Diceros bicornis minor: one gene and its partners. The protein of the gene in region 4 purifies or fractionates together with the protein of the main gene of each other region. This does not show direct contact. Links are inferred from orthologs where the notes say so. Each region holds a gene or a part of one and is shown on either strand. Other genes may lie near its edges. The genes, in order: KLHL42, DCAF8, CUL4B and COPS6.

What was found.
Region 1: the proteins of COPS6 (region 4) and KLHL42 purify together in Homo sapiens (affinity purification with mass spectrometry; 3 studies listed by BioGRID and IntAct, with this or other methods). This does not show direct contact. The link is inferred for Diceros bicornis minor from reciprocal best matches to the Homo sapiens genes COPS6 and KLHL42.
Region 2: the proteins of COPS6 (region 4) and DCAF8 purify together in Homo sapiens (affinity purification with mass spectrometry; 3 studies listed by BioGRID and IntAct, with this or other methods). This does not show direct contact. The link is inferred for Diceros bicornis minor from reciprocal best matches to the Homo sapiens genes COPS6 and DCAF8.
Region 3: the proteins of COPS6 (region 4) and CUL4B purify together in Homo sapiens (affinity purification with mass spectrometry; 8 studies listed by BioGRID and IntAct, counting the BioPlex papers as one, with this or other methods). This does not show direct contact. The link is inferred for Diceros bicornis minor from reciprocal best matches to the Homo sapiens genes COPS6 and CUL4B.

The regions. Positions count from the first base shown.
Region 1 is NC_080756.1:35,317,244-35,324,277, forward strand, and holds the start of KLHL42 (kelch-like protein 42), read right to left. Parts: upstream 3,014-7,034; 5' UTR 2,852-3,013; coding exon 1,980-2,851; intron 1-1,979. UniProt on the Homo sapiens protein: Substrate-specific adapter of a BCR (BTB-CUL3-RBX1) E3 ubiquitin-protein ligase complex required for mitotic progression and cytokinesis. The BCR(KLHL42) E3 ubiquitin ligase complex mediates the ubiquitination and subsequent degradation of KATNA1.
Region 2 is NC_080743.1:64,933,424-64,940,798, forward strand, and holds the start of DCAF8 (DDB1- and CUL4-associated factor 8), read right to left. Parts: upstream 3,012-7,375; 5' UTR 2,918-3,011; intron 2,912-2,917; exon of another isoform or gene 2,595-2,911; intron 1,908-2,594; exon of another isoform or gene 1,794-1,907; intron 1-1,793. UniProt on the Homo sapiens protein: May function as a substrate receptor for CUL4-DDB1 E3 ubiquitin-protein ligase complex.
Region 3 is NC_080781.1:111,043,236-111,051,107, forward strand, and holds the start of CUL4B (cullin-4B), read right to left. Parts: upstream 3,006-7,872; 5' UTR 2,991-3,005; coding exon 2,963-2,990; intron 2,209-2,962; coding exon 1,684-2,208; intron 1-1,683.
Region 4 is NC_080765.1:5,681,858-5,688,813, forward strand, and holds COPS6 (COP9 signalosome complex subunit 6), read right to left. Parts: upstream 3,007-6,956; 5' UTR 2,986-3,006; coding exon 2,922-2,985; intron 2,691-2,921; coding exon 2,565-2,690; intron 2,348-2,564; coding exon 2,216-2,347; intron 1,942-2,215; coding exon 1,853-1,941; intron 1,750-1,852; coding exon 1,687-1,749; intron 1,372-1,686; coding exon 1,324-1,371; intron 1,244-1,323; coding exon 1,129-1,243; intron 1,037-1,128; coding exon 944-1,036; intron 849-943; coding exon 748-848; intron 648-747; coding exon 507-647; 3' UTR 387-506; downstream 1-386. UniProt on the Homo sapiens protein: Component of the COP9 signalosome complex (CSN), a complex involved in various cellular and developmental processes.

The DNA of each region.
Region 1 (7,034 bases), on a different chromosome or scaffold from region 4:
ATAAATATGTATTTATAAATTTATAATATACAAGTATGTCTACAGATGGACATAATTTTTACTCTATAGTTTTTCACATCATTTGCAATTTTTCTAAGCTTGTATTCATACATTACTCAAATACTTGTTTTATCCAAAGAGGACAGAAAAGGCTTTCCTAGAATGAAAAAAAAGACTACCAAGGATTTGTGAAGAAAGAAAAGAAATCTGTGAGGTGTCGTGTTCCAGTCCTGGAGGTAGGGGTGGCGTGTTGAGCACCAATTGATACGGCTGGAGACGTGTGTAGAGGTGACAGACAACCTGCTGGGCCTTCACACCCAATCTGAGCACCACCCATAACTGCTGAACGTTCCTTTATTGCTTCAATTAAAGCTCCTAGAGTTTATTTAAAAATAACACTTCTGATATCAAAATTGAAATATGGCATCATCTCAACAGTGTAAATAATGCACTAAAAAGGGCCTGGAAGAAAATATGCCAACCTGTAGGTGGTTAATGCCTCTAGGAAGGAGGGAATAAGACTGATAGTCTTTCTGCTTCTTTTCCATTTTTTTCAGTTTTCTAGAATAACTATGTACTATTTTTAATCATCAAAAAAAAAAAGAACACTAGCGGCCGGCCTGGTGATGCAGCAGTTAAGTGCTCACGCTCTGCTTCCGAGGCCCAAGGGTTTGTTGGTTCGGATCCGGGGTGTGGATCCTGGGTGCTGCACCGACGCACCACTTGTCAGGCCATGCTGTGGCGGCGTCCCATATAAAGTGAAGGAAGATGGACACGGATGTTAGCCCAGGGCCAATCTTCCTCAGCAAAAAGAGGAGGATTGGCATCGAGTGGTAGCTCAGGGCTGGTCTTCCTCACACACAAACAAAAAAAGAACACTTTCCAAAATGATTTCATATTCTAGTAGAAATAAAGCCAGTGTTCCCCCCTGGCCTGGGGGGACCCTCAAGTCAAGTAAATAGTATGCATAATGGCCTTCCTGTTCCTGTGAAGACTGTCTTTGCCTGGTGGTGAGTGTCCCCACTCCTTGCTCCACACTCCAGGCCAGGGAGCATGGCGGGCCTGGAGACGGATACAGGTGGACCAGAAGAAGGGGTATTCTTGTCGTTTCTTGGGTGACAGTGATTCTTCTCTCCACTTGTGAATGGCTCTGGGCCGTCTTGGGCCCTACCGTCTTAACTTCCTACCACCTCCTCCTGCATCTGCTCTGTGCTCTCGTTCTCCCTTTCCTGGCTCCTTTCCCTACCCCACCCCACCCCCAATCTCCTTCTTTTCTCTCCCTTTCTTGAAGTCATGCAAGTTCATGTTAGGAGGAATTTGCAGGACGGGAAGGGAGAAGGTTAGGGTGGATGGAAATTTTCTAATTCTGTAAGTGATCACCGCCAGGCTCAAGCTTTGGGTCAATGACAATGACTGGCTCAGAAAGAAGAGAGATGCAAAATAGAGGATAAAACATAAGAAAGGCAATCCTATATAGCTAGTATTCATACAATTCTAACGACTATGTCCCGATGACAGATGGGTGACCCGGTGTGGAAGGCTTCAAAGCCATTAACAACAAAAAAATCCCCCAAAGTCAGTGTTACAGGTTACTGCCCAGTGTGTCATTATTATCAGGATCAGATCCTAAAAAATAAAAAAGGTGAAAATAAAAGCAAAATTAAAGAACAGTTTTAAGTATCCTTTTAGGAAACCACAACATCTTTTTTTCCACTGGGATAGAGGCAAAGAAAGTAGTTTGCCTGATGGCGAGATACCTGCAAGGCGCCTACTCAGCTAGTTGACCTCACTGGGGCCTCTTCTTCCTTGCAAGTTCTTAGTTCACTGGGAACTTTGCCAGAGTGGAGGCCAGCCACACTCCTGAAGACGTCATTCCCTCCTCAGCACAACCTCCTGCGATTGCTCAGTAAACATTAGGCGAACGAGTTAATGAACAAGTGAATGAATGAGAAAGAACCAGCGCTCTGCTGGGGGCTTACCTCTTCTGGTTCATGGAGGCCACCTGGAGCCACTCGTTGGTGCTGGGGTTGTAGGAATGCGCGGCGGCGATCTCCTGGCTAGTGATCCTGTACCCGCCCACTATGAAGAGGTAGTTGTCCAGGATGGCGGACCCGTAACCCCTGACATTCACCAGGTCGGGGGGAAGGTTGTTGGCCAGCGGGAACCAACGTTCAGTCATCTCCTCATACCTGAGCATGGACGGGGGCTCCCCCTGGTAGGGGTGAGGGGCCAAGGGTCCCCCCAAGAAATCCCCTAGGGCCACAAGGACAGGAGTCCCAGTCATCCGGGCCTCTCTCAGCCTCTGCTTCAGGCTGACATCCCCCGGAGCTTGGGGAGAAGCCCCCAGGAGGTGGAAGTGGGGCTTGCAGAGCACCTCGTGGAAGTGGACGACCATGAAGCGCAGGCAGGCCTCCTGCAGGTCGGGCAGCCCGTACACCTGCGCCAGGCGGTACATCTCCAGGCAGTTGGTGAGCCGCACCTGGGACAGCAGCAGCTGCAGCAGGGACGTGACCTGCAGGAAGGAGGCCGCTTCCACCAGCTCGGACAGCAGGCTCACCTCGTCCATCTCCTCCTCCTCCTCCACCCCGCCGCCCTTGTCCCCGCGCGGGCCCAGGAGCCAGCCTTCGCGGGCCCCGCCGGCGTTGATGAAGTCCAGCACCAGGCGCAGGCCCGGGGCGCTGAGGCCGCGCAGCTGCTGCACCTCGGGGCCGCCGGCCTCCTGGCTCAGGGCCTCGCGCATGCCGGAGCGGTAGAGCGCGCGGAAGTAGTCGCTCTGCTCGATGAGCTTCCTCTTGCTCACCGGGTAGCAGCGGTCCTCCAGGCGGATCTGCACCATCTCCTCGGCCGACATGGCTGGGGGGCCGCGGGCCGCGGGGCTGCCCGCCAGCTCTGCGCGCTCGCCTCCCCGCCCCCACGCGCTCGCCGGGTTCCGGGTTGGGCGCGCCGAGGGAGGGCGGCGGGAGGAGGAGGCAGGCGGAGGCCGCGGCTCGGGGCCGCGGCGGCGCCCCCGAGGCAGCCCCTCCTCCCGGGCCCGGGGGCGGCGGCCCTGCCCGGCTGCTCTCCCTCAGCGCCAAAAAAGGCCCGCCCGCGCGCCGGGCGTCGGGAGGCGGCCGCCGTCCCCGCTCGGGTTCTCGCGGGCCGCGTCAGCCGGGGAGGGGATCCCAGCCCCCGGCCTGCAGCCTCCTCCCCCGCCGCGCTTCCCGCTTCCGCCCGCGGGACCCCTGCCGCCCGCCGGACCCGCGCGCCGGCTCCCGCGCTCGGGGAGGCTGGGAGGCTGCCGGCCTCCGGCGCAGCGGCTCTGCAGCCTGGCGGGGTCTGCAGCGATGATCGCGGGGGACAGGAGGCGAGAGGAAGCCAGTCTGCTTTTTCTTCCACGCTGCCTTTTGCTGGGGGCGGGGGCAGCTGTGGGAGGATGAAGGGAGTCTGGGGTCCGGGGAGTCAAAAACACATCACATCTGGGATCGCCCATCTGGCCCAGTCGGGCTTCGTGTCCCAGGGGGCTGAGGCACACTGGCCGTCTCTGGACATGCAGGTGGCACCCAGAGGTGATTCTTCGGCATGGTCATTGTGTAGGAGCCATCTTGCAGAAAGAAGGTCCAGCCAGATGGCAGTAGGTTCTGCAGGGCTCAGCGCATGGGGTGCACCCGATGAGAAGAGTTGGGAAGCACAGGAGCTGGTATTTGCTGTTGGGGCCTGTTATCCTCTTTGTGCTATTAAAAGAAAGTCAGAAGGACAACTTGACTAAATAAAATTAGACCACGTGCCTTCTTTTCAAATATTTTCTAACAGCCATTGCTTTCCCTGTTTCAGTTTGGTTGGGCTAGCCATTACGGAATGTTATTTTGGGGCAGAAGGTCTGGCCGCTTTTGCTCATATTTGCCTACAGAGGTGGCTTTTCTTGCCACCCTCATCACCTTCCCCTGCCCCTACCCCCGCCGTCTGAGGACTGCTTAAGGAAGGACCACTTCCCCATCTTCTCTCGTGAACATTGCCAACAGAAAGCTCATCCCAAATAATACAAAGGACCATGTGTTGCTCATGAGATATGAATTAATCCTAGAAATGAGGGACGAAGGGTATTGTTAGGTTACCTTTGAGCAGAAGGAGGGATAGGATTGGGAGGGAGCATAGGGTGTGTTCACTCCTATCTTACATAAAACCCTTGAAAACTTTCTGGGATCGAGATTCAAGAACCAACCATAACAGACCTCAACCTGGGGAGAATATGTGTTTGGACTTTGTTTTTATTATTACAACCTTCAGCTTTCTTTTTGAATGGCAAGTTGTTAAATAAAGTGAAGGGAAAAGTGAAGGAAATACTGGCGGATTTATGACTTGCCTCTTTCAGTTATTTTCTTGGATTCTGTGAAAAACTTCTGGCTTTTCACCTTGTTTCACCTGGCCTTTAAATCATTACTGAAAAAATTCCATTCTCACATGAACCTCTCACACTTCTGCTTTGAATGAGAGTGCAGTCAAGACATTCTAAGGTTCTTGGGGGTTGAGTGACCATGAACTTAACGACCTCTTTGGGAAGGTAAAGTGCCCCACAATCAGTATTAGGCATTTAGCTGGGGGAACTCGTGCTAGGAGGTGCCCCCTGTATCAAAGGGACTTGGACCTGGGATTTATTTGTGTCTCCATCAGCAACAATGCTAGATTCAGTGGGTCAGCCAAGAAGAACAGGCACTTAGTCTCTCCTCCATCCCTTTAGAATCTTTCACTAATGGATGCTTTTGTTTCCTAACCGTCACAGATATGCCTCAGACTAGTATTTTCTTGCCTTTTAAAAACAGACCAAAAAAATCACGCCTAAAGACTGATGTGCATTAGAAAGGCAGTTCACGCACAGTAATATTATCAGAGCAAGATCAGCATGGACAGGGCATCTGGGCTGTTAGTCTGACAATACTGGGCACTAATCTTGTAAGCTTTAGGCCCCCACATGATAATAACGTCATTTAGGATTGGAAGCATCTTAAAAGATCAAATCATTTTAATAGCTCACACAGTAAGCTTTCTGTTAAGCTAGAAATGCAAAGTCAAAGCAATATAAACTTCTTTATTTACAAAAGACCTAAAATAGTATTTCTAAGCGTCATGAAAATATTACTTATATATAGCTGGAGGCATGCTTTTATAGATCTGTTATTGACTGATCATTGAATGATAAAGACTGGCCTTTGTGGTAACTATAATTCACTTCAAGTACTTTACATCATGATCTGTTTTACAAAAGATTAAATTAATAGTTAAACACAAAGTTAGGCTACTTAAGAATTTATGGAAAATATACTTTTTGACCTAGAATGGAAAAAAGCTAAGCACAAGATGTTTATCACAGTGTTGCCTTTAATAATAAAAAATTAGAAAACATAATGTATAATAACAGTAGCTAACATATTTATAAATGTTTATTATTTGTCAGGCACTGCTGTAAGTGCTTTCCGTGGATGACAACACTACTATTATACTATTTTACAGCTGAGGAAGCTGAGGTGCAGAATAAATTTGGGTACATATGTAGAATGAAGTACCCTAGAGCCATTACAGCTTTTGAGGTAGAGACAACTTTCTTTAGAGACATCGAAAAATATAATTTTACACTGGATTTTTAAAAAACAGTTTCTGGAACAGTGTGAATCCATTTATGTAAAATTGTATACAGGTATGTATTTTTTAGAGATTTCTAGAAGGGTGTTTACCAAAATGTGAAGATCGTAAGATCTTGAATAGTTTTTATTTCTTTTTGTACTTTTCTGTATGGTTTGGATTTTTAAAGTGAGTGTCTATCAATTTAATAAAAGCAAAACATTTTAAGAAAAATTAATGACATATTTATATTTCTCAGGCCCCATTTTTAAAAAGAATTTCCAACAATTTTATCAATTGATGAAATGAAAATGTTAAGTATATAATACAATTAGCATCTTTAGAATAAGGATGAAATATTGACTGTTTTGCAGATTTTTTTTAATTTAGTAAATCTATGCTATTACTTCACTACCACTTAAAAATTATTTATCTTTGTTTTTTAGTCCTTCTAATATTCCTAAAACAACTTTACTTCTTTTTGTTTTTTAACAAGCAAAACCAAAATATCTTCCTTTCATTAAAGCATATGGGGCCATTTAAATGAGTTAAAAGTAGTACAGTTCTCGAAATGGCTCTATTTAATTCAAGTTGAACATATTTATGTAAGCGAAGCTTCCATTTATCTCAGTCACCTATATCAGTGTTTTCCAAACATCTTAGGAAATCACCTCAGGCACTTACTTATAAAAATAAGAATTCTGGTTCTCACAAAAACAGAGCTACCGAATCAGGCTCTTGGGGACATGAGTGGTTTTTAAGGTAGAAATCTAATTTTTGAACCCCTCTCAAGAGGGCCCAATTGGAAATAAGTACAATATGTCACTGCATTGCAATAGTGCCATGGTTCTGGGTATTTGATAAAATTTGTACAAAGGCTATAGAGCAATTTTTTATTCAGAGTTGCAGCTACTTTCTGATTTCTGCAATTTCATCTCACATCAACAAGTTTTGAGATGAGATGCTTCTGGGCCGTGAATCTCAGCCCATGATGGATTCCGCCCTCTGGCCCTGCAGTCCAGTTTCTGTCTCTCCTTTTCAAAATACTTGGCTCCAAGAAGTTACTCATTTCCAGACTCAATGTTTATGCAATCACCAAAACATTTGTTTAAGAATTTTAAAGCATGCTTTTACATTGGAACTTGTAGATTCTTTAAAATGCAACTTTGCTCTTCACTTGAACATCATTTGACAGCAGAAGGATTAAACAATTGTAGATTGTTCTATTATCCCTGCAGGGAACATGAGAACTTCAAGGAATTATATTTCACACAAAAGAAACGGCATTTAATGTGACTGAAAGACGTGGAGGTTAGAAGGTTAGAAAGTAAATTTTCTAGTTTATGCCCCCAGAGCATGAACTAATTGAAACAGCTATAGTATCTCATAGAAAAACAGAGAGTAACTTTTGTTCCTCATCTGTCCCTTGCTTTGCCATTTGG
Region 2 (7,375 bases), on a different chromosome or scaffold from region 4:
CTAAGATGCTCCAGCTGAGGAGATGAAATCAAAAACTCTGCATTCCTAACTCCCTAGCCCAGACTTCACTTCATAAAGAAAGGAGACCTTTTCATGGTCTAGTTCTTTGATAATCTATTGATGAGGATCACTGTGCAGCCCAACAGCTTGGAAAAATGTATTCCTTCCATGGCAAAAAGAAAAAGGCATAAGAGGTAGCTGGAGCAGAGGTGGTAAATAACATTGAAGCAGGAAGGGAAAGAATTACAATACTTGTGTCAATTCTGATCAGATGTGCTAATAGAGAGACCAAGAGGAAGGAAGCAATGAACGAAGGAAACTTATTGACGTTTAGTTTAAGAATACATTTAGAGATAGACATACACCGACATCTAATATTCTGCTGTCCTCTGGTCTTGAACCCCCGCCAGACTGACCTGAATCATGTTCAGAAGCCAACCCTAGGTAGGCACCCACAAGGCATACATCTAAGCTGACCAATTAAAAATCAATTTGAAAAAAGAATCAGGAAAACATGTTTGAAAGCAAAATGCAAAGAAGTGTAAACTAATGTATAACATTCCAAGCCGTGTCAATGATGTGTAAAGAAAACAGAAAATAGCTTTTAGTGTCTATCGTGTGCTAGACATAATGTAAGAGCTTTATACGGGTTCCCTCACACAATACTAATAACAACCCTGGGAGCTAAGTGGTATTATCTCACTTTTAGATGTGGAAATTAAGAGAGAAGTTTAAGTAACTTGCCCAAGGTCACAAGGCTAATAAATCTTAGTAGTATTTAAACCCAGGTCTGCCCAGCTCTAAAGACTGTACTTTTCTCTTTATATCTTGCTGATACACATAGATACCACCCATAATCATCTTATTCTAGTTCATAATGAGCATTTTCTAGTTGGGACACTGTGTGGAATAAAACTCAACAGCATCACACTCATCCTTTTCCTACTACAAATCATAAAGATATTAAGAATCAGCCAGGCCTACCTTCTAGAGCCACTCAGCTCCTCTGTCACATCCCATGAACCTCAACCATAGCACTATTCTCAGCTACCAGAAACCCAAGAGTCTTACAAAAATTACACTTACAAGTATGTTCTGACTCCCTCTTTGGCACTGGCCCATGCTGCTGAATGCACAGGATGATTTCTCTGCTGACCAAGAATTCTTCAGACCAGCTATAAAAGGGCAGCCACTATTTTTTTTTCCACTCAAAATTTACCACTATGTCCTGAAAAGTTGGAATTCTAAGGAGGACTGAACTCAGACACTAACTAAAGGCAGCATCACTCATCACTCTCCAGCTTTTAGTGACAAGGAGCTAAATATTCTCCTCTAAATAATAAGGAATAAGAACCCAAAACCCTGAAAGGGAAAGAGACTTGATTTGACAAAAGGCTGAAGAGAACTCAGGCAAACTAATTCCAAAACTACATTGGAAGTACTTTCCCTTCCTGTACTACGAAGCTACATTGCAGCTTCGAACAATGTAAGAAACATGATCCACACAAAGGCAAAACACAAAGCAAATGAATAAAGAGGGAGACATTCATTTCTAGGCTTAACTGGAGTTATCTGAAGATAGACAGCAACAGTTTAAGACAGAAAGTCAAGATGCCCACAGCCAATTAAACTTGTAAAAGTAATTTAACCAGAGTTGGAACACAGCCAAGAACAATGCCCCAACTCTTTGGGAAATTGTGTAGGGATTTTATGACTTCAGTGGTCAGCACTTGAGCATCAGGATAAGGTCTGTCTTGGACTCAAGAATTTAAATGCCTTCAACTCCTACTCACCTTTCCTCCTTTATCACTGAAGTAGGGCCAGGCTGAGCTCCTGAGAAAATAGGTCTGTAGATTCACTGAAGGACTGAGACAGTTAAAGTTTAAATGGCAAAGGTGTCTCTTCTACTAAACATAAAAAATATTTATGAATACATTTTAGTATTTTTTAGACCTCAGAACTATTTAAAGCAGAGTAATTTATCTAATTCTGATTACTCAATAACCTACAAACATAGTTACTGAAATAAAATGAATCAGGCAAGTCATCCCCCAGTTCCACTAAAACGTAAAAGTCATTTAAAAGGAAAACCTGAATCTTTTCAACGCTAACCCAAAACCAAACCTCTGCAGAAGCCACAGAGCAGGGGGGAAATCCCGGAGAGAATGTGATAGCGCTACTGCCGGTTTGTTTACAGAGACTCCAGCAACAATCATATGAGTCAGAAATTCAAGCCACCAGATGCTTTCCAACGAACAGGGACCAAATGAGACCGTACTACGGTGTCCTGAAAGATTTGGGGGTGAGGGGAGGTAAACTAAGAGAATTATATTACAAAGGGTACAAGACCAGACGGCAACAACTGACTCCAGGGATCTTGGACCTCGGCCTTCCGTACAAGGTGCTGGGCCCGAGAACTCGGGATGGGGGAGGGGACACATTGCGCGGCGGCCCTGAGGTGACGAGGAGACGCAAGGCGAGCTGCGTTCCCCTAATCTAAGGGGGAAAAAAGCACACACAAATGGGTCACCCGACGAGGCAAGACGTCCCTGTGGATTGGGGGGCAGGCCCTTGAGGGCAACCCCAGACCTGACCTGAGGAAAGGGCAACCAGTCCTCCCGGCGGTGACTCGGGTCAGGGGAAGAAGACTTGAGCCGTGGGAGCTTGGGAAAGGAGTCAAATCTATCTTGAGGGGGTACGGGCCACGGGAGAGGGGGGCAGGCCAAGCCGGAACGAGACACGGACCGGGTAGGTCAAGGGGGGGGGGTGTCCGGCTGGGGCAATTACAAGCACGGGAGCCGGCGAGGCTCAGCAGCCTGCTTCCCGTCTTGGGTCATCCTTCTGCCAGCGGCTGCTCCGACTGTTCCAGGCCCAGCCGCCCCGTCCGCTGCCGCCACCAACGAAGCCGCCATCTTACACTGGCCAGCGGCCGCCACCACCACCGCCTCCGCTGTCTGCGCTTGCGCCTGCGCTGCCACACTTTCCGGCCCCGTTTGCGACGATGTGCTGGAGAAGACTGAGGGAAGAGTGGTCGCGCGAGCTCTCGGCTCTCAACCCTCCTCGAAGGACGCATATGGGGCGGGGCTTAAGGCCAACGGCAAACAGAGAGAGGGCGCGTGCGCATTACCGAAGAGGCAAAGTTGTTTCTGTAGCGTTTGAGGGGCTCGCTGCCCTCGTGTTTCTCAAAACATATGAGAATTAGGGGCCTTTGAAGGTTGTGGTGGAAATAAACTTCATTTCTAACGAGTTGGCAGGCAACCTCTTGGGCGACCTCCATTTTTGCCCCGTTTTTGAATACTGGAAACAAGCAGTCCTTGCCAGATTTCTTCTGAAAACCCCATTTCCTTTGAGGACCTTATTTTCTTAAATGGTTTCTATAACTTCGAGACCCGCTTCCCCTCAAGAGTCTCCAGTTACCCATTTTTAAAGAAGGAATTCAGAAGCTTGAGGTGCAGCTAAACTATTCAAGAGGCTCTTTCTCCAAAGGGGGTGATGTACACTCTGCTTCGTTCCGACATCTAAAGGCAGTGTAGAGAAGATCACTGGAAAGGTTACTCCCAGCTGCCAAGCTGGGGGATTTTTGACCAGAAGGCCAGGGTGCAAGAGTCTGACACTTTCTCATCTCCTCTACCGCTACCATCCTATTATAAGTCATTATATATTACTTAGACTACTGCAATAGACACCTAGCTGGTTTGTCTACTTCCATTACTGCCTTGCTAGTTAAACATAAAGCAGTCAGAGTGACCTTTTAAACTATAAGGCAGGTCATATTATTACCCTGCTCAAAATCTCCAAAAGCTTCTCATCATACAACAAAAATCAAATGATCACAATGGCCTCCAAGGAAGACCCTACACCATCTGGCACCTACTTCTCTGATTTCATCTCCTCCTGCTGCCTAGCTCTGCTCTAGCCTTATTGGCCTTCTCGCTGTCACTTCAGCCAAAGCATGGTCCAGGCCCAGGGTTTCTGCACTTGTTCCCTCTTCTTGGAATGTTCATTTACTGGATCTTTAGTAGACTTACTCTCTCCACTTAATCACATCTCTACTCAAATGCGACTTTCTCACAGAGGCAGCTTTGACTATTCCAACTAAAATGGTACTCTACACCACCATCCTCTGTCCTCTCACTCGGCATTGTATTTTTCATAACATTTTTTACCTATAACATTTAACCTATAATTATATATTTGTAATCTAACTATACTACTAGAATATAAGCTCTGTAAGGGCAGGGACTATGTCTTTTTCATCTGTAACCCCAATACCTAGAAGAGGGCACAAAGTAGCTATCTAATGCCCTACTATTCTGTTCATTCACTCCATCAACAACTACTGAGTTCCTACTACATGTAAGACCCTGTTCTAGGTACTAGAGCTGCAGCAGAGAATAAAACAAACCAAGATTCCTGCATTCATAGAACTTATTTATTACTGCAGGAGTTGGGAGTAGGGGGAGGAAAGGGACACACAGACAATAATATTAAGTTTTGAAGAGTACTGTAAAGGAAAATAAAGCAGGGTAAAAGTGGGTTACCTGAGTAGGTGTGCTCTTTTACATAGCAGGTTCAGGGAAGGCCCCTCTGCTGAGGTGACATTTGAATTTGAAGTGACAGAGTGAGTCATACACACTGGGGAAAGAACCTTCTAGGCAGAGGAAACAGCAAGGTAAAAAGACCTGAAGCTTGAGTGTGCTTCATGCATTCAAAGAACAGCAAGGAAGCCAGCATGGCAAAAGAGCAGGTAGGAAATTAGGAAAAACATGATGGGAGCCAGATCATTTATGGACTTAATAGACCAAGGAGAGGACTTTGGATTTTATCCTAAGACTGTTAAGAAGCCACGGACAGTTTTGAGTAAAAGAATGACATGATCTGATTTATAAATGAAGAGATTCACTCTGGGTGATTCTTTGAGAACTGCCTGCAGGAAGGCAAAATAGAAGCTGAAAGACCAGTTAGGAAGCTATTGCAGAAGCCCTGCAAGACTAGTGTTGCAGTGGAAATGGTAGGAAGTGGTTGGATTCAGGATGTACTTTGAAAGTGGCAGAGTTGATTTGCTAATAGACTGAATATGGGGTGAAAGATAAAGAGTCAAGATATCCCAGGTCTTTTGATTTGAGTAAGAGGATAAATAGTAACGCAATTTACTGAGATAGAACTCCAGGAGGGGGAGGGGGGTGAAGTAGGAGGAGTTTTTTTTGAAAAATGTCCAGTTCTATTTTAGACATGTTAAACTGGAGATGCCTGTTAGATTTCCAAATGGAGCTACTGAGTAAACAATTGAAATATGAATCTGAAGCTCATAGAAGAAAGGACAATGGGTGGTATAAATTGGGAAGTCATTAAGGTATAAATGGGTTTGGAAACATGGAAGTTATTTAAGACCTTGACAAGAGTGATTTTAGTGGAGCTATGAGATAAAAGCCTCCTCCTCGTCACCTGGTTTCTGGGCTCACTGCTTTGTTGGACTCATTGCTACTATCACCAAGTCAATTGCTATTACCACCAAATCTTCTTTTTTATTTGGGCTTTCCTATTGCCTTTGAAGTTGTGATGATCATTACCCCTTCTAGATATTCAATCCCACTGATTTCTGTGACACTATATTCCATAGTTCTATTTATATCTCTCTGACCATTTATTTCATGAGCTTCTCTTTCTATTCATTCTACATGTTCTTCCAAAGTGATTTTATCCATTCTTACAGTTTAAACTACTATCCACATAATGATGACTTCCAAGTCTTTATTTCCAACCCAGGCTTCTCCTTCAAGATTCAGACTCACACACCTGATAGCTAACGGCACTTTTTTAAAAACAGCTGTATTGAGATGAAACTCACATACCACACAATTCACTCATTTAAGGTGTACAATTGAATGGCTTTTAGTACATTAACAGATATGTGCAACCATCACCAGTCAATTTTCAACCATTTTCATCACCTCACAAAGAAACCCAGTACCCTTTAGCTTTCACCCTTCTATCTTCCCATCCCACTCCAGCCCTAAGAAACCATTAATATACTTTGTCTCTATAGATTTCCCTATTCTGGACTTTCACATGAATGGAATCATATAGTATGTAGTCTTTTGTGACTGGCTTCTTTCACTTAGCATAATGTTTTCAAGGTTCATCCATGTTGTAGCATGTTATCAGTACTTAATCCCTTTTTATAGCCAAATATTATTCCATTGTATGGATATACCACATTTTGTTTGTCCCTTCATCTGTCGATGGACATCTGGGTTGCTTCTACCTTTTGGTTGTTATGAATAATGCTGCCAGAAACATTCATGTACAACGTTGTATAGACGTATGTTTCATTTTATTTCTCTTGGGTATATTCCTAGGAGTGGAATTGCTGGGTCATATAGTTAACTCTATGTTTAATCATTTGAGGAATTGACAGACTGTTTTCCAAAGCAGTTGAACCCTTTTACATTCACACCAGGCGTGTATGAGGGTTCCAACTTCTCCCCATCCTTGCCAATACTTGATGTCTGATTTTTAGATTCTAGACATCCTAGTGGGTGTGAAGTGGTATCTCACTATGGTTTTGATTTGCACTTCTCTGATAACTCACAATGTCAAGCACCTTTTCATGTATTTATTGGGCATTTTTGTCTTCTTTGGAGAAATGTCTCCATTTAGATCCTTTGCCCATTTTTAAATTGGGTTATTTGTCTTTTTATTATTGAGAGAGTATATACTATAGATACAAGTTCATTATCAGATATATGATTTGCAAATATTTTCTCCCATTCTGGGGTTTTCCCCCACTTTTTTGATGGTGTCCTTTGAAGCACAAAACTTTTAAATTTTGATGAGCTCCAGTTTATCTATTTTTTCTTTTTTTGCTCATGCTTTTGGTGTCATATCTAAGAATCTTTAGCCAAATCCAAAGTTATGAAGCTTTTACATTTATGTTTTCTTCTAAGAGCTTTATGGTTTTAGTTATTACTTTTAGGTCTTTGATTTATTTTGAGTTAATTTTTGTATATGGTGTGAGGTAAGGATTGAACTCATTCTTTTGCATGTGGCTATCCAGCTGTCCCAGCACCATTTGTTGAAAAGACTATTCTTTCCCCACTGGATGGTTTTGGCACTCTTATCAAAAATCAGTTCACCAGACGTGTGGGTTTATTTCTTAATTCTATTCCACTGGTATCTATGTATATTCTTGTGCCAATACCACATTGTTTTGATTACCATTGCCTTGTAGTAAGTTTTGAAATTGGGAAGTGTGAGTTCTCCTTCTTTATTCTTCTTTTTCAGAACTGTTTTCTTATTCTGAGTCCATTGTGATTCCACATGAATTTTAGAATTAGCTAGTCAATTTCCACAAAAAAGTCAGCTGGGATTCTGA
Region 3 (7,872 bases), on a different chromosome or scaffold from region 4:
TTCCTAATAATGCCCTGAGGAAGGTATTATTACGCCTATTTTGCAACTGTGGAAACTGAGGCTGGAAGATTCATTTAGTAAGGCTTGCCCAAGGTCACCATAGCTAGTCAATGGCAAAGCTGGGATTCTAATCCAGGTCTGTTTGACCCCCCACATTTATGCAGCATCTACAGAAATGGAGAGAAACATCTTAACTCAGGTTTTGACTTAAACTGCATTTCTGAGCAGAGTAAAATTTTAAAAAATTAAAACATCCAAATGACTCCAGAACCTATGTAGCATTTTCAGAATGAAAAGGAACATCTTAATCCAGGCTTTAGTTTAAAATTCATTGACCAGCAATGAGTACTTTTTTTAAATGAAAACATCCAAATGCCTTAATAATGTGTTTTTATTTTAGGAGGGAGAGAAAAAACCCAAACAAACAAAATCTCTGAAACCAGTATGCAAATGCAATTAGGATCACAGCTCATCTCTTTAAAACTCCTTGGCTATTAAATCGATATATTTTAAGTGAAACAGTGAATACATTAGTCAATCAGAATTCATATTTACTTCAGAAAAGTCTACTATTAAATCAGAAATATTACAACACTCTTGAGATCCTGGGGATGGGAGAGGAGTGATAGAAAAAAAATGGTTAAAAATAACACTATAACCCCCTGCTTGAGACAAAATAGAGCACATTCCTGATTTCCACACTAATGTTGAAAACACAAGCATGGAAAATCTAATTTTCTCAATACTAACATCTAGCCACAAGGCACTTATCTGGTAAATATTACTTTAGTTCATTCATTTACTTCTCCACTTAATAAACATTTTAGCATCTAATACCTGCCAGTTAAGGGTGTTGAAAAAGTTAGTCAGAAAAACAGAAACACAGTCAACGGATAAAAAGTAATTCAGCTCAATTACATTTTTTTAAATTGCTGATTTTATATTTGTATCGATGCCTTCATAATACTCTCAATCACATATCTGAAACACAAAAGGAACAAATTTTCCTAAAAGCTGCAGGTTAGTACTTTAAAACCCATCTTAGTGATAAAAAAATAGATACAGTACTTGATCCTATCTTTAGACTAGTGGTACACAGTTACTACTTCTGTGTATACACATTATTTTTCACTGCCAAACCCTACCTTTGGGAAGAAATGCAGAGATCATAAACATTTTTCTCCAAATACTGCTTCCATAATGAGTGTCAAGAATACAGTATTCAACATTATAAATCTAACTATAAATCTTATTTGAGCATGAAAATGTCACCATTTCTACCTGCATTTCTAGGGACTGGAGAATGTGGCCTACTGAAGCATAAAAATAAAAATCCCAGCAGTGCCAAGGCTCACTATGCACCTGAAATAAATAAACCTCTTTAGAATACAAATTTCTCACCTGTAAAATCCGGATCAATCATACCGATGGTCAATGTTATCAGGAATGACAGATTAGATACAATAGGCTGAGACAGACCTCAAAATACTACACACAAACACCCAGTGCATACTTCAGCACAAGGATACAAACCACCCCCCCAAAAAAGGACCTCCCTCTGCCTCACTGATTATGCATAAAACATTAGGCCACCTCTATGCTGTTTAATATATTAACATAGAGCACGTGACCACTCAAGTGTCAAATCCTTAGTAGGTGATTATGGATTTTGGCCTTGGTTACCTTTAAAGTTCTTGATCACTAACTTCTTAGCAGAGCCAGGCTTGCTGTTAGCAAAGCTAGAGGCGGTGGTAGATTTGGCTAGGCCGTTTGCGTGATGCACCGAAGCCACAGAAGAGATTAATATACTCTTATTTTTAAGTTGCTGCTGCTGAGATGTTGCAGCAGTTGGTGAAGAGGAGGAGGAGGAGGAGGAGGATTCCTCAGCCATCTTCGCATCAAACCCTACAAACTCCAGGTTGTCGTCAAAACGCAGCTTCTTCTGTACCGGTACGTGGCTGGAAGCAGCCACTGAAACCCCCAGGCAGAAGGACGAGGTTGAAGGGGATGCCGAATCCCTGGGTTGTAAAGGAGGAGAGGAAGAGGCGGAATCAAAGTCTTCTCTCTCGTTACTACTGTTACTGCTGCTACTGCTGTTTAACTTTCTCTTCTTAGCAGAGGTGGGCGGAGTGGTGCTGGTATTACCATCAGTGGCAGATCTGACCTCCTGAGCAGCAGCAGCAGCTGAGGGATTGGGGGAAGAAAAACCTGTTGGAAACATGAAAATAGCGGGGTCAACAGGCAGAGGAGCATCAAAAACCTAGGTTTATATGCCTGCGTGCGTGTAGGAGAGAAGGTGGCAGTGCTAGAGGGGGAAGGGAAGAAAGAAGAGAGGAGAAACACAGAGGACGAGAAGGAAAGTGAAGGGGGGGCTACACCGGGGGAATGGGAGGGTTTGGGAAGGCGGATAGGCTGACACCAGGAGTGAGCAGAACGAGGGGGGAGAACGAATGAGGAGGCAGACAGGTAAACGGCCGTGCCGTCCCCCTCCCCTGCTTTTCGGTCTCTCTCCCCCCTTTCTGCAGGAGCGACTCAGTGAGTCTGTGAGGCGGCAGCTCCTCCTCCTTTTCTCCCTCTCTCTGGGAGGGGAGATGCCGGGGCTGGGGGGAGGGGGAAGGGGGAGAGGACCGGGGCTTGTTATTGTCAATAGCACAAGAGGCTAAAGATGGCGCCACTTCCGGTCACGCGGCCGCGAGGGAGGGGCGGCGTCTGTCCCCGGGAGTGGGGGGTGGAGAGAAGCACTGCAGGCGCCGGGGGGCGGGGGAGCTGGCTCGCGGGGAGGCGATGGGCAAGGGGCGGCTAAGGCGCCCGAGACGCTCGTGCTCCTTCGTTCGCTCTGGCTCTCCCTCCCCCTTCCTCACCCGCTCCCCGTCCCTGGCAGCACTCTCCTCACCCGGCCCGCCGGTAACTCCCACCCCTCCTTAACGGTCCCGCGGGAAGCTTCGCGCCGCAACGCCCTTACCGGAAGTGACTGGGCAGACACTTTTCATAGCGCCCAGATCCCGAAGCCCCCAGGTCCGCAGGACTTGAGCGGGGGGGTGGGGGAGGGAGAAAAGGGGGGGAAGAGAAGTGGAAAGGGAGGAGGGGGCGGGCCTCCGGGCACCCTCGGAGCTCCTGATTGGAGCTTTCTGGACGTGAGGCGGGCGGGTGAAGGGGGGGTGGCGGGAGAAGGAGCGGGAAGGAGGCTGAAGGGGAGGGGCGGTGGTGACGGTGAGGGGCGGGGTGAGCTAGCTGGGAAAAAAGAGGAGGAGGGAGAGAGGAAGGGAGGGAGTAAAAAGTAAGGGAACGGAGAATGGAAACTTTGAAAGAGATAAAGGAATAAGGAGGAGTTGCAAGGCGAGGGGAGTAACCCGAAATGGAAGAAAATATAATGATGCCATTATGCCTCCAACTAAGGAGGAATGTCATGTTAAGATAGGAAAAGAAAAAGAGCTTAGATGGAAAGAAAGGGAGTTTTTGATTCAGTTGATCTATAAGTTGTTTCTCTTTTATGTCAAGGACACCACTGACCCAATACTGAATAGGGCCTGAATTTTGATACCTTTCTCAGTAATATAGCTGCAAATCCTTTTCCCTTCCTACCAGGAGCATTTTCTAAGATAGCTGGCCAGAGTTAAACGTGCATTTTAAGGCCAAGAAACAGGAAGGTAACTAACACGACCCCCACCCCACACGACACAACCCCCAGGACCAACCCCAACCCCGACCCCCATCAGTCATTAACCTAGTAATTTACAGACTAAACAAAGCCACTTCTTTTACCAAATCTCAGTTTATACACTTCTTTGAGACAAAGTGTATAATATTGGCAATACAATATTGGCAAAAGTCAATGTTTTCTACCAATGTATTCCATGAGCCCAAATTTTAAAATAGATTACTCACGAGAACAAACCTGTAAATTGGCAACAATAAACCTTGTAAATTCCCTGTTGGGAGTTTTTATTTAATTCAAAGGCATTTGGGAGGGGTGGGAGAACACAATGTCAAATAAAACTAAATTTGCCAACCTGTTGATCATTGTAACTGCAGAAACATTCAACAAGCAGGTATTGAACGACTTTGTATGCCAGACACTATACTAGATGCCTGCCATTGAGAAGGCAGTGGGGGAAGATAGTTTCAAAACTAATTTCCATAACAGTACTATAACAAATGTACAAAGTGCTATGGGAACAGGTGAAACAAGAAATTTGGGGGAATTTTGGAATAGTCAGAGTTTCACAGAGGAATTTATATTTATGCTGGGTCTCAAAGTAGGAATTGCCAAAAAGACAAGAGGGGAGAGCATGAAAGGCATTCTGGGAAGTGGAAACACGGGCAAGGCAGGGAGTTGTGAAAGTGCCTGGCCTGTTTGTGGACATATGGAAAGTGCTGGAAAGTAGGATGTCTGGTTGGAAGGAAGGAAGATGAGGCTTAAGAGTGCCTGGCACACAAAGCCAAAAATTTTGGAGTCTACCCTGTAGGCTAGGGTAGGCAGCATGGAGATGAGCCAGCAAGCTGGGCTTTTAAAAGCAGGGGCGTGACAAGATTGTGGGTGGAGTAAAAGCAGTTTGTATTGTATAGCTTGAGATAGACAAATCAGAACGGTAAGAATAAGTCAATATTCTAACTTTGTTTACACAGACCCACTTTTTTGTTGTTTGTCTTGAAAAGTCCTCCTAGACTTTAAAAATGTCCTCCTAGACTAGTTAAAATGCAGATCCTCCTAGAAAAGGTACCACCTTGGGCCACTATCAGCTTTGTGCTGTTTGATGACAACAGGCAGAGAGAAAGGCTCTAATGGCACTTAGGACCCTAGGCTACAGAGAATGGAGATAGAGGCCTGAAAGGGAGAAGATTGACTCCTATCTGTTTTCAATGTACCCTATTGTTCTTGCTGCCTGAAATGAGACTGTAAACTCTTAAGGCCAGGGAAGGTGTCCTAAAACATTAAACCCTCCTTTATTGTGTCTCACATTTCACACGATGCTGATCAACTGTGTAAATGCAGAGTAAATACTTATTGAATTGAATATTTCATTGAATGAGAATAAAATAATGCTGTGCCTTTATAAGGGAGGATTAACTGGCTAATTTTCAGGATTTAATGAACAAAGTTGTTCTAATTCATATAGTTATATTCCTTAGAAGGGTGTATGGATGGACCCGCTGAGGACTTTTCAAGACAAAAAAAAAAAGTGGGCCTTGTTCTAATTCATGTAATTATATTCCTTAGAAAGGTGTATGGAGTGCTAGCTATTTTAAAAATTATAAATATTAGTGCAACTGAAAGGGAATGGGCATAAAGATAAAAAGAAAACTGCTTTTGCCATACAAAGATAAACTTTTATACTAACGTAAAGGATAGCTGAGTCCTGTTAATATTCAACTACATTCTAGTAATAATAGCTCCCAATCTGACATGATTATCTAAGCCCTTCAGTCTTCCCAGGTAAATGTTAGTTCTAAAAGCACAGACCCTTGGCTCTTGAGCTCTAGCTCACTTTAAATGACCCAGGGGCCTAATCTACTATTTAAGTTTTCCATGAAATATCCTTAAGTGAATTTTGTGGAAAAAATATTTTTTCTTTTTTTTTTCTTAGTGATTAATAATCTTCCTTTTGACATTTTAAAACCTCATTTTATTTTGTGCCAGGTGAATCGTCACATATTTAGCACATCTTAATATGGATATATAATTTAATAATTAATTTTAATAAATAATTTTAAACATTTAACATTTACATTTTGTGGCACAGACCAACTTAGTGTCTTCTTGGACACTCAGACCAATTTAAAAAGACGAAAAACCTCCCATGTTGCTTTGTAAAACATCTTTTACATCAAGAATCAACTAATTGGGGCTAGCTAAAACATAAGCATATGTTCTATACACCCAAACATTTGCCAACCAACATTAAACACATTCTCAACATTAAAATACATTTTTCAAGGTTAGACTCACTGAAACCACAATAATCAAGGCATGCACATAAATTATGGCCATTATCAGACTAAACCAGATTGGACACTTAACATATATTACATATATAGAATCTTTCATCTTGTGAGTTCAACTCATACCTTAGAAACATTAATTAAATTTTACAGTGCTACCAGATGAGGTATAGTTATTATTGGCCTTGTTTTAATCAAGTAAATAAATCAATCTGTAGCTATTTATAAAGGTAAATATATACACATAAAAGAAGAAATACAAAGACAGAGGACTAGTTTTTCTAATGTCCATTCCCCTATTTCTGTAGGTCTCTGTCTAAAAAGTATAACCTGTTTCGCTTTGATCACGGGGACTCCCCGGCGGGCTTGTGTTTGGGTCTTCTCCAGACATCTCAGAGCAGGAGCTTGTTGATGGACAGACACTCTTGGAAGCCTTGTTATTCATGTGTGGGAATTTCCTTAAAAATAGGAGATACTGCTTGCTCAGGAGAATACCAAAGATGATTCTGCAGCAAGCACTATTTAAGAATGTGTCCAGAAAAGACAACTGCTGAGCAAATGGTGGTCCATGGTTCTCTATCCACTCTTCTGAAGGACCATCTTTGAAGCAGGGCAACACTGAGAGGGCAAACCAAGCGGTGGTGAGATATTAACCATTATATCATAATAAGGGCTTTGTGATGCGAGCAACAGCAGGGGGCAGCTATGGGGGACTGGGGAGGCCAAACTTAAGCAAACATGACCCCACTACACTATGTGAATTCACCCTTTGCCCATCCTGGAGTTGCTTTATAAAGCAAAAGGAACTTAATAACAAATGCTGAACCTATGGTGCTCAGTAAAATGTAAATAAATAACACAGATCTCATATTTTTAACAAAATCGTTTATCTTCTATGTAAAATTATCTCATCAACTGGAGACTTACTGACTCAGGTACATCAGCCATTTGAGGACTTAGCACCTTAGCTCAGAGATTTTTATCTACTGTCATACCAGTGAACCATCTGGAAAGCAGATTTAAGGCCTTAACTGTTAGGGCCAGGCCATTTTCCCTAGGGGTTTGGGAATGGGGGACCGGATCAGCCACAGGTTACTTCTTCCTTTGGTACTGCCAAGCACCTGCTTATTATGGAGTTGCTGGGCCTATTTTTAACCTTCTGTTCACTCTATCAATGACCCCCACAGTCCCTCCACCCCCACCCTGCTTTAAGGTTTGATCTTCCAATGGCATTCAGCTTTTCTTTTTCTCAAGAGTAGGGCCAACTTAGGTTTAAATCAGCAGTTCCCAACTCTGACTGTACAACAGACTGTATGACAGAATTGCCTGGGGAGTTTTTTTAAAAAACCTCTTTGCCCAGGTCTGAACCTCATCCAGCTGAATTAGATCTCTGGAGTAAGGCCTCAATTATCAGGATTTTTAAGAATCTCACAGGGTGATTCTACATACCTCCAGGGTTGAGACCACAGCTGTAGTGAAGTAAGTACCTCTGTGATTTGAATGGGGCTGATAAGCCTTTGTACTCCCTTTAATGCCTGAAATTTCACAATTTATTCATTCCCTTCGATAAAATAGCCTCCTTCTCTAGGAATCCTTTTTTTCACATGAAAATTAGCCAGAGAGACTTAGTTCCTGACCCTTTAAGGTGAATGCTTCCTGGGAACAAAGGATAATACAAAAGTCCTAAGTGCCTGGAGGTAAACAGAACTAGGAGTAGGTATTGCAATGGAAGGGGAGAAAGTACATTTTGTTGACCTCACAATATTGCCTGGGGCCAATCCTGCTTTGCGATGACTACGTATTTAAGATCTAGTCAAGTTTGACAGCTTATCCCTACTGCCAAAATCATGTTAAAAGGAATTTTAAATATTTTTTATAAGCAAAACAGAGAGCAGACATTGGGAATGTAGATTTGGAGCTATCCATAAATGC
Region 4 (6,956 bases):
GGCTGTGAGATGTCCCTGATAGAAATGTGCTTAATATCCCTCTCCCTCCCACTCCCCTTTTTGTGTGTGAAAAACAATTTAGCTTGGGAAAGGAGTCACTTGTCTTATTTCCAGAGTTGGTCTTTGTGAGTTGATGTCACAAGGAGACATTAAAGAGCAGAACAGAGCTCTCTTAGGTGGAAGGCAGGCTTTGGCTCAATAGATAGTCTACCTGACTGGACATGGGGTCACTTCAAATGGCAATAAGCTCCCAAGCTGAAGGGTGTGGAGAAGAGCTGACGATAAAGAAGGGACTGGGGCCTCGGAGCAAGGCTGGAACCAAGGGCCTCTAAGATCCAATTTGAGAAACCTGTGTGGTGCCTAATAGAGGACAGAGCCACTGGAAGGGGTGCTGAGGGGCTGCTCCCCTTTTATTAATGACAGGTTTCTGTGAAGGGAATTGAGCACGCCTCCCATCTGGGACAGCTGTCTGACCCCTTTGCATCATTCGTTCAAGTACCCTCTCATCAGAAGAAGAGCCCCCGCATCCGCCTGCCGATGCCTTGTCGATCGTAGAGGACGTTGAACTTGTTCACAAACTGGTTCATGGTGTTGCATGTTTTGGTGATGGTGCCAAGGTAGGCCATGAGCCCCACGTCATTGCATTGCTGAGAGGGAAAAGACAGAACCAGTTGCCCTGGGGAATAGCTGAGTCCCATGTCCTGCTACGCATAAACCCCACTTCCCCATCCTAGGTTTTACACTCACATCATAAAAGTCTGTCTTGAACTTGTCTGTGCTGAGCACTGGGAGGCAGTGACACAGAGCGTAGGCCTCTCGCAGGATCTCATGGTTAAAGGGGACTTCCCCTAAAAGCACAAAAAGAGGCTGCATTAATGTGGATGCTGTCATTTCCCCAGGAGGGAGAGGAAAAGTAAAAGTGCCAGGGAGACACCTGTCCTACCTGCTTCAGAGGCCTTGACATACTCCAAGATGAGCTTGACGCGGCTGTGCAGCATCTTGATGGCGCTGTGCTGTGCTATCAGGTGTTCAGCCACTGCATGGGGACGAGAACAGGCCAAGGTTGAGAAGGCATGTGGCCACACCTTCCACCCCCACTTCCAAGGAAGCCCCTCCAGCCTCCATTACCAGTGGAGTTCTCTCCACTGCCTGTTGCTGTCATTCGGGCCACGTGATCTACACCAATGCGTTCAGCTTCCTCTGTCGCCAGAGTGTAGGTCAGCTCAGCAAACAGCATTGTGGCCTACAGGGCACGCAGGGAGAGTCAAAAGCCTGAAACGCCAGGGGCAATTTCCTTCTGCGAGTCCAAGGGCAGGGCATTACCTCTCCATTGATTATATCGATGACAGACTCAAAAACGCTGACGGGAAGCTGTAAAGGAGAGACGGAGAACAGCTCTTACTAACATCAAATGCACCTGAGCCTATATTATGAAACAAAAATTGGGCCTGGCCCTTTCACATTATATTTTCTCATGTAAATCTTCCCAAGGACCAGTGAAGTAGGGATTATCTCCATTTTACACACGAGGAAAATGCAGTGTAGAGGTTAAATGACTAACCCAAAGTCACACAGCTGGTTAAGTGGCAGAATGGAGACTCGACTCAATAGAGATGGCATACAGTAAAATAACAGGCACAGTGATAGAAGAGCAGGACAAGTGGGCGTGGGGTCAGTATTACTCACATCTGTGTGCTTGGTCATAGGGTTCAACTTAAGAAAGAGGGGGCTCTCGATTATCTCGCACACCTGGAAGACAGGGAAGATGGACACAAGTGTCAATGCCCATCTTTCTTCCCCTCATCCTCTATTCTCTGTCCCCCCTAGCATGCATGTGTGGCAGCATGTATACCTGCTTATGGACGTGGATGTCGGAGGGGTCAGGCGGCCCCCCTGTGGTATACCAACCCAGAAACTCCAGCTCCTTGAACACCTGTTTAACTGGAGAGGAAGGGGCAGGAGAACATAGTATTGCTTTAAACGATACTTCCTTTATTTAAAGCTCCTGGTATATTTTCATCAGTTTCTCCCCTCTCCCCCAAATCCTGGCTCAATTTAGAATGTTTTCTTTTTCTGAGATCTTTTCAGCTACTCTCTCTTGACTTTTCCTCCGTTCTCATCCTCTTCTGTTTACTTCTTCCCAACCCTCTCCATCTGCCCCACTCTGCTTTTTCTTGACTCCCACTCCTCTCCCCCACTTCTATGCCCCTCTCACACTGCTCCTCCTTGGTGTAATAATATTCCTTGTCAATGATAATCTTCTCCTCCACGGTGTGGGACAGCAGCTCAAAGGAGTTCATCACCTCGATATTTCGGCCCTCCTGCTTCCCGATCAGAGCCCCAATCACTGGGGGAGAGAACGACACACAGAGGTGAGAGTAAGGAATCCTGAAACTTTTTCCTAACCATTATCGCCTGAGGGTCTGAGGTCGGTTTGAACCAAGTACTGGGGAAACGGTGATTTGGGAGAGGGGGAACTAGCTTCAGGAAAGGAAGAGGAAGAGACCACTATTTGAGGGAGATGACCAAGGAAAGGAAGTTGGAGAATTATGCCCAACACTCACCCTGCATAGGCCGCCCCTCCTGGGAGCGCATGCGAATCCAATGGTCTGAGATGTTGAGAATGACGAGGGGATGAAGAGCGACTGAGACACTCCCAGTCACTCCGGAGGCCATCACGCTGGGGACTACTAAGGGTGGAAGAAAAGGAGGGAGGGTGAGAGTCCGGGCCCCACGTTCTTCCCCAGAGATGACAGTAGGGGACAGCAGAGCCGGAGCCATACATCCCTCCCGCAAGTTATCCCAGGGAGCGATGTTGCCGTCCCGCCCTCCTGACTTCTCGGAGGAGTCAGGTCTTGACGCAAGGAAGGCCTTGACGCACCCCAGAGGGCATCTCCAGAAGCCGCCCCCGCGCCCGTTACCTGCTGCATCCACCTCCATCCCGCTGCTCCCTCCGGTCCCGTTCGTCACAGCAGCCGACGCCATTTTCCCCGCGCCCGGCGCTCGGCCCCGCCCCCCTCCCGGCTTCCGTACGGCAGCGGCGCATGCTCAGTGCCCCGGCGGCCCCTTCAGCCCGGTCTCGGCTGGCTGGTCTGGCGACTCGGGGCGGGGTAAGCTCGAGGCCCGCGAAGCCCCAGAGCCAACAGATTTTCGTAGACCCTGGTACCGCTTCTCGCCTGCGGCTGACCTTAAACAAATTACTAACCCCACCTTGCCCCAATCTTACCGTTCTCGTCGGTAAAATTGGGATAAGACTGCCTAGTTTCTAAGGCTGTTGCAGAGTGAATGCAATGTCATGTTATTCCCCAGAATAAAATCCAAGCTCCTAACCACGGCCTGCAAGACCCTGCATGATCTAGCCCTGCCTGCAGCTGGCCCTGGCCTCTGCTTTCCTGCCCTTGGTCCCCGTGTGCAGCCACGCTGGCCTTCACGTCTGTTCCTTTCACAGGCCCCACTCAAGGGCCTTCTGTCGTGTTCATCGCTGTATCCCCTGTGACCAATACGGTACCTCACACTCGGGCACCTGAATAATTTTTGAGTGAATGAATGAATGAGTAGTTTGGGGTGGAGCCTGGTCTTGAGTGGCTCCGTCTGCATGTCCTATCTTTCCTCCTTCTAAGCATTGGCGTTACCTTCAGTACTGGGAACGTCCCCGGCATTTTCTAACCCCTCTCAACCTCCGTCTCTATTCTCTATCTCCATCAGTCTTTCAAAACTCCCCTCTGGTAAACCTAGCCCACTCCAGCCGTCTCCCCTCTCCTACACCCGAGCAAGTTGTGTGCACTGCCTTTACCCTCTCCTGCTGCCCCTAAATGGCTGGCTGGCTCATTTAGTATCTGTCTATACCCCACCCAAAGTGTAAGCTCTAGAAAGCAGGTAGAGACCTGTGTCCTGATCCTGTAGAGCCTATTCTGGTGCCCAGAACTAGCAGGTACCAGGAGATGTTTTCTGGTGATAACGGTGACTTATGTGAATTAAGCAATCTCTCCATTTAGGAGCCTTGATGAAGGGAAGTTCGAGGGCCAGCAACCCTCAAAGGAAGGGGCCTGAGAAATCCTGCTGGGAGAGAGGTCTTCCGGTCAAGGGGAAGTTAAGAAACAGTTTATCTCATTCTAATTCCCAGTGTAAAACCTCCCAGCCAACTGAGATGGTTATGGAAGAAAAGCATATATGCCTCACTTCTCTTAGGAAAAATGAAGTCAGAAAAACGTATCTCTGTTAGATGGTAGGCAGCTTCTAAGGAATTTAATGCTTGTCAGCTAGATTGAAGGCTAAAATAAAGATAAGAATTATTGTGGTGTTAATAAAGTTGATAGTTTGCGTTGCTGTTTCACACACTAAAGAACTCCTTTGTCTTTCTGTTGTTTCAAATGCTTTTGAAACATTGTTGAGACAACTATACAACTCATAAAGCAATGGTTATTGTGAAATTTAAAGGTGACTTTGAAGTTGAATCCGTTGATTATACATGCCTTGGAAGTAAACTCATTGAGCATTTCTTAAAAGTGCCTTGTATTTAAAAACTACTGAAAAAGTCTCAAGTCCCTCTGTTCCCATTGTCACATTGCCTTCTGTAGTAAAATCTCTATTTCCTGCTTATAAGGACAGTTGGGATAACATTTAGTGCCCACTGGAATAATCCAGGATAATCTCCCCATCTGAAGATTTGTAACTTAATCATATCTGCAAAATCCCTTTTACCCTATAAAGTGACATATCACAGGATTAGGACCTGGATATCTTTTGGGAGCCATTGTTCAGCCTGCCACAGCATGTGCGGGCCACTATAGGGGGGCTGGAGAGCAGTGTCTTCAATCAAGTGGTCATTGTCTTCACGATCTAGAACGATGTCAGTCCAAAAAGAGAATCCTTGTGGCTGGACCAGATTTAAGTTGGAATTCCCTAGGCTCTCTTTTGGCCGGGCTGTACCCAGAGGGTCTACCAACCAGGCTGGCCTGTGGTAGCCATTAGGAGAAAAAAAAAAGAATCATCCCAAGGAATGGTCAGGGCAGAATCTTTAATTTTCAAAATAAGTCTGGACAGCTCCCCACTCCTTTCATCCCGATCATTACCCAAGAGGTAGCTGACCAGGAGGAGACAGCCACATTCAGTGACCAGGCTGCCTTACTAAGGTGTGTGGACCAGGAGGAGGTGAAGGAGGTAGAGCTGATTTTGAGGAGGCCATTCCAGTGCTCGGCAACCAGATGCTGTGGATGGTAGGGGGTGTGGATTGTCCATCCAACACCCTGACTATTGGCCCATTTTGGGGTGGCTTTTGTGACAAAAGGCGCACCAATGTCAGACTGTAGAGGGTCTGCAAACCCTAAAACATGACCAGTTTAGTTTCCAGGGCATAATGATGTGGCCTGAGTCAGCAGATCAGACTGGAACAAAAACACCAGCACCAGGGGAGCCTCTCTAGGGAAAGGGTGTCAAAGGTTCGCTGGAGTCAGTTTACCAGGAGCGGAAGGGAGCTTCTGGAAGGTGCAAGTTTGATCAGCAGCTTGGTGCCAGTCAGTCTTATCAGAGACCAGGTGCCCACCATGAGCATCCACATGAATGACCCAATTGTCAGATAGAGATAAGGTGTGTTTGCATAGTTCACTGCCCCAAAGGATGTGTCTTTAATTTTCCATATCTGTCATCTTCCAAGTGGCGAACCAAGCAGCCAGGCCATTGGCTAACAACCCAAGTCAGTGAAATGTAACCAGGTTCATCAAGGGGAGTGCTGGCCAGACTTGGGCTGAGAATGGCCTTGAGTTTTGCCCACTGAGCAGAGTGATGATGTCCACTTTCAGTTTTGTATAGTTGGCCCTGAGGCTGGACAGCAGCAGCCACCCAATGGGCCCCAGCAGTTTTCAACTCAGCTAAGCCATCAGTGAACAAAGCCCAGGCATTTAGGGGAACCTCTGAGATCTGAGGGACCTATTGATCCATGTCTTTGCTTTAGGTGATTTCTCCCAAAGCGGTAACTGCCATTTTTTCATGAAAAACTCCTCTAGGGTCACGCTGACTGCCCTCTTTAGCATACCATTTCCACTTGACTAGCGAGGTGTTTTAGGCTCTTCCCATCTTGTTAATCATCGGGTTTGACTTGATTCACCCCAAAATGGGGGTACTAGGCTGGAGAGCTACAAAGCCTCCTAGGCCTGGAGTTCTTCAGTAGCAGGTGTACCGGGTGTCTGCATCCGACAGGCGGCGCTATTGCACTGAGAAATGGCCTCTGCGAACACTGGCAGCAGCAATCAAGTTTTTAAGAAAAGCTGTGATTTAACCTCGTATTCTTTATTGTTTATGCTGGACCATCCGGGAGGGGAAAGAGAGGCGGGTTGGGGAGTGATCTGTGAGTCCCACTGTCACCCTCTACATACAGCAGTCCCTGAATGGGAAAATCCCCTCTAACCCTTAAAGGACTAGAAAAGTGCAAGCATATAATCCATCAGTTCCTGCGACATATTCAGGTGTAGAAGCAGCAAAGACATCGGGCTCCACACAAGATCACTTTAGCTTCATTTCTCTACTGCAAACCTTGTCCAACCCCATCAGTTGAATTCAGGCGCCTCTTCCCCTACAGGAACAAGGACCAAGAAATCTAACTCATCTTTGTCAGGGGCTACAACAACAACCATCAGGACACCGCTCTAATCCCCCTGGCTGCGGGCGCAGGGCAGAGAGGGAAGCTGGCCTGCAGGGCATGCTGGAGGCAGCAGAGGGGAGACTTAACTGTCAGCCTTTTTCCTTCTGTGTCCTTGTACTTTAGGGTCAGCGCTCACGATTTAGTACTGCCTCCTCCCTCGTGGGGTCAGGTGGTACTTCCTGGCATCCTGTAAATGCCCTAGCCCAAGGAACCCTTTCTTTCTGCACCGATGCATGTTGCTGCATTCCTGCAGTCCTTGGCACCTCAGCCACCCCTGTGCCCAGCACCCTGTCCATACTGATGGCTTGTAGCAGAAACC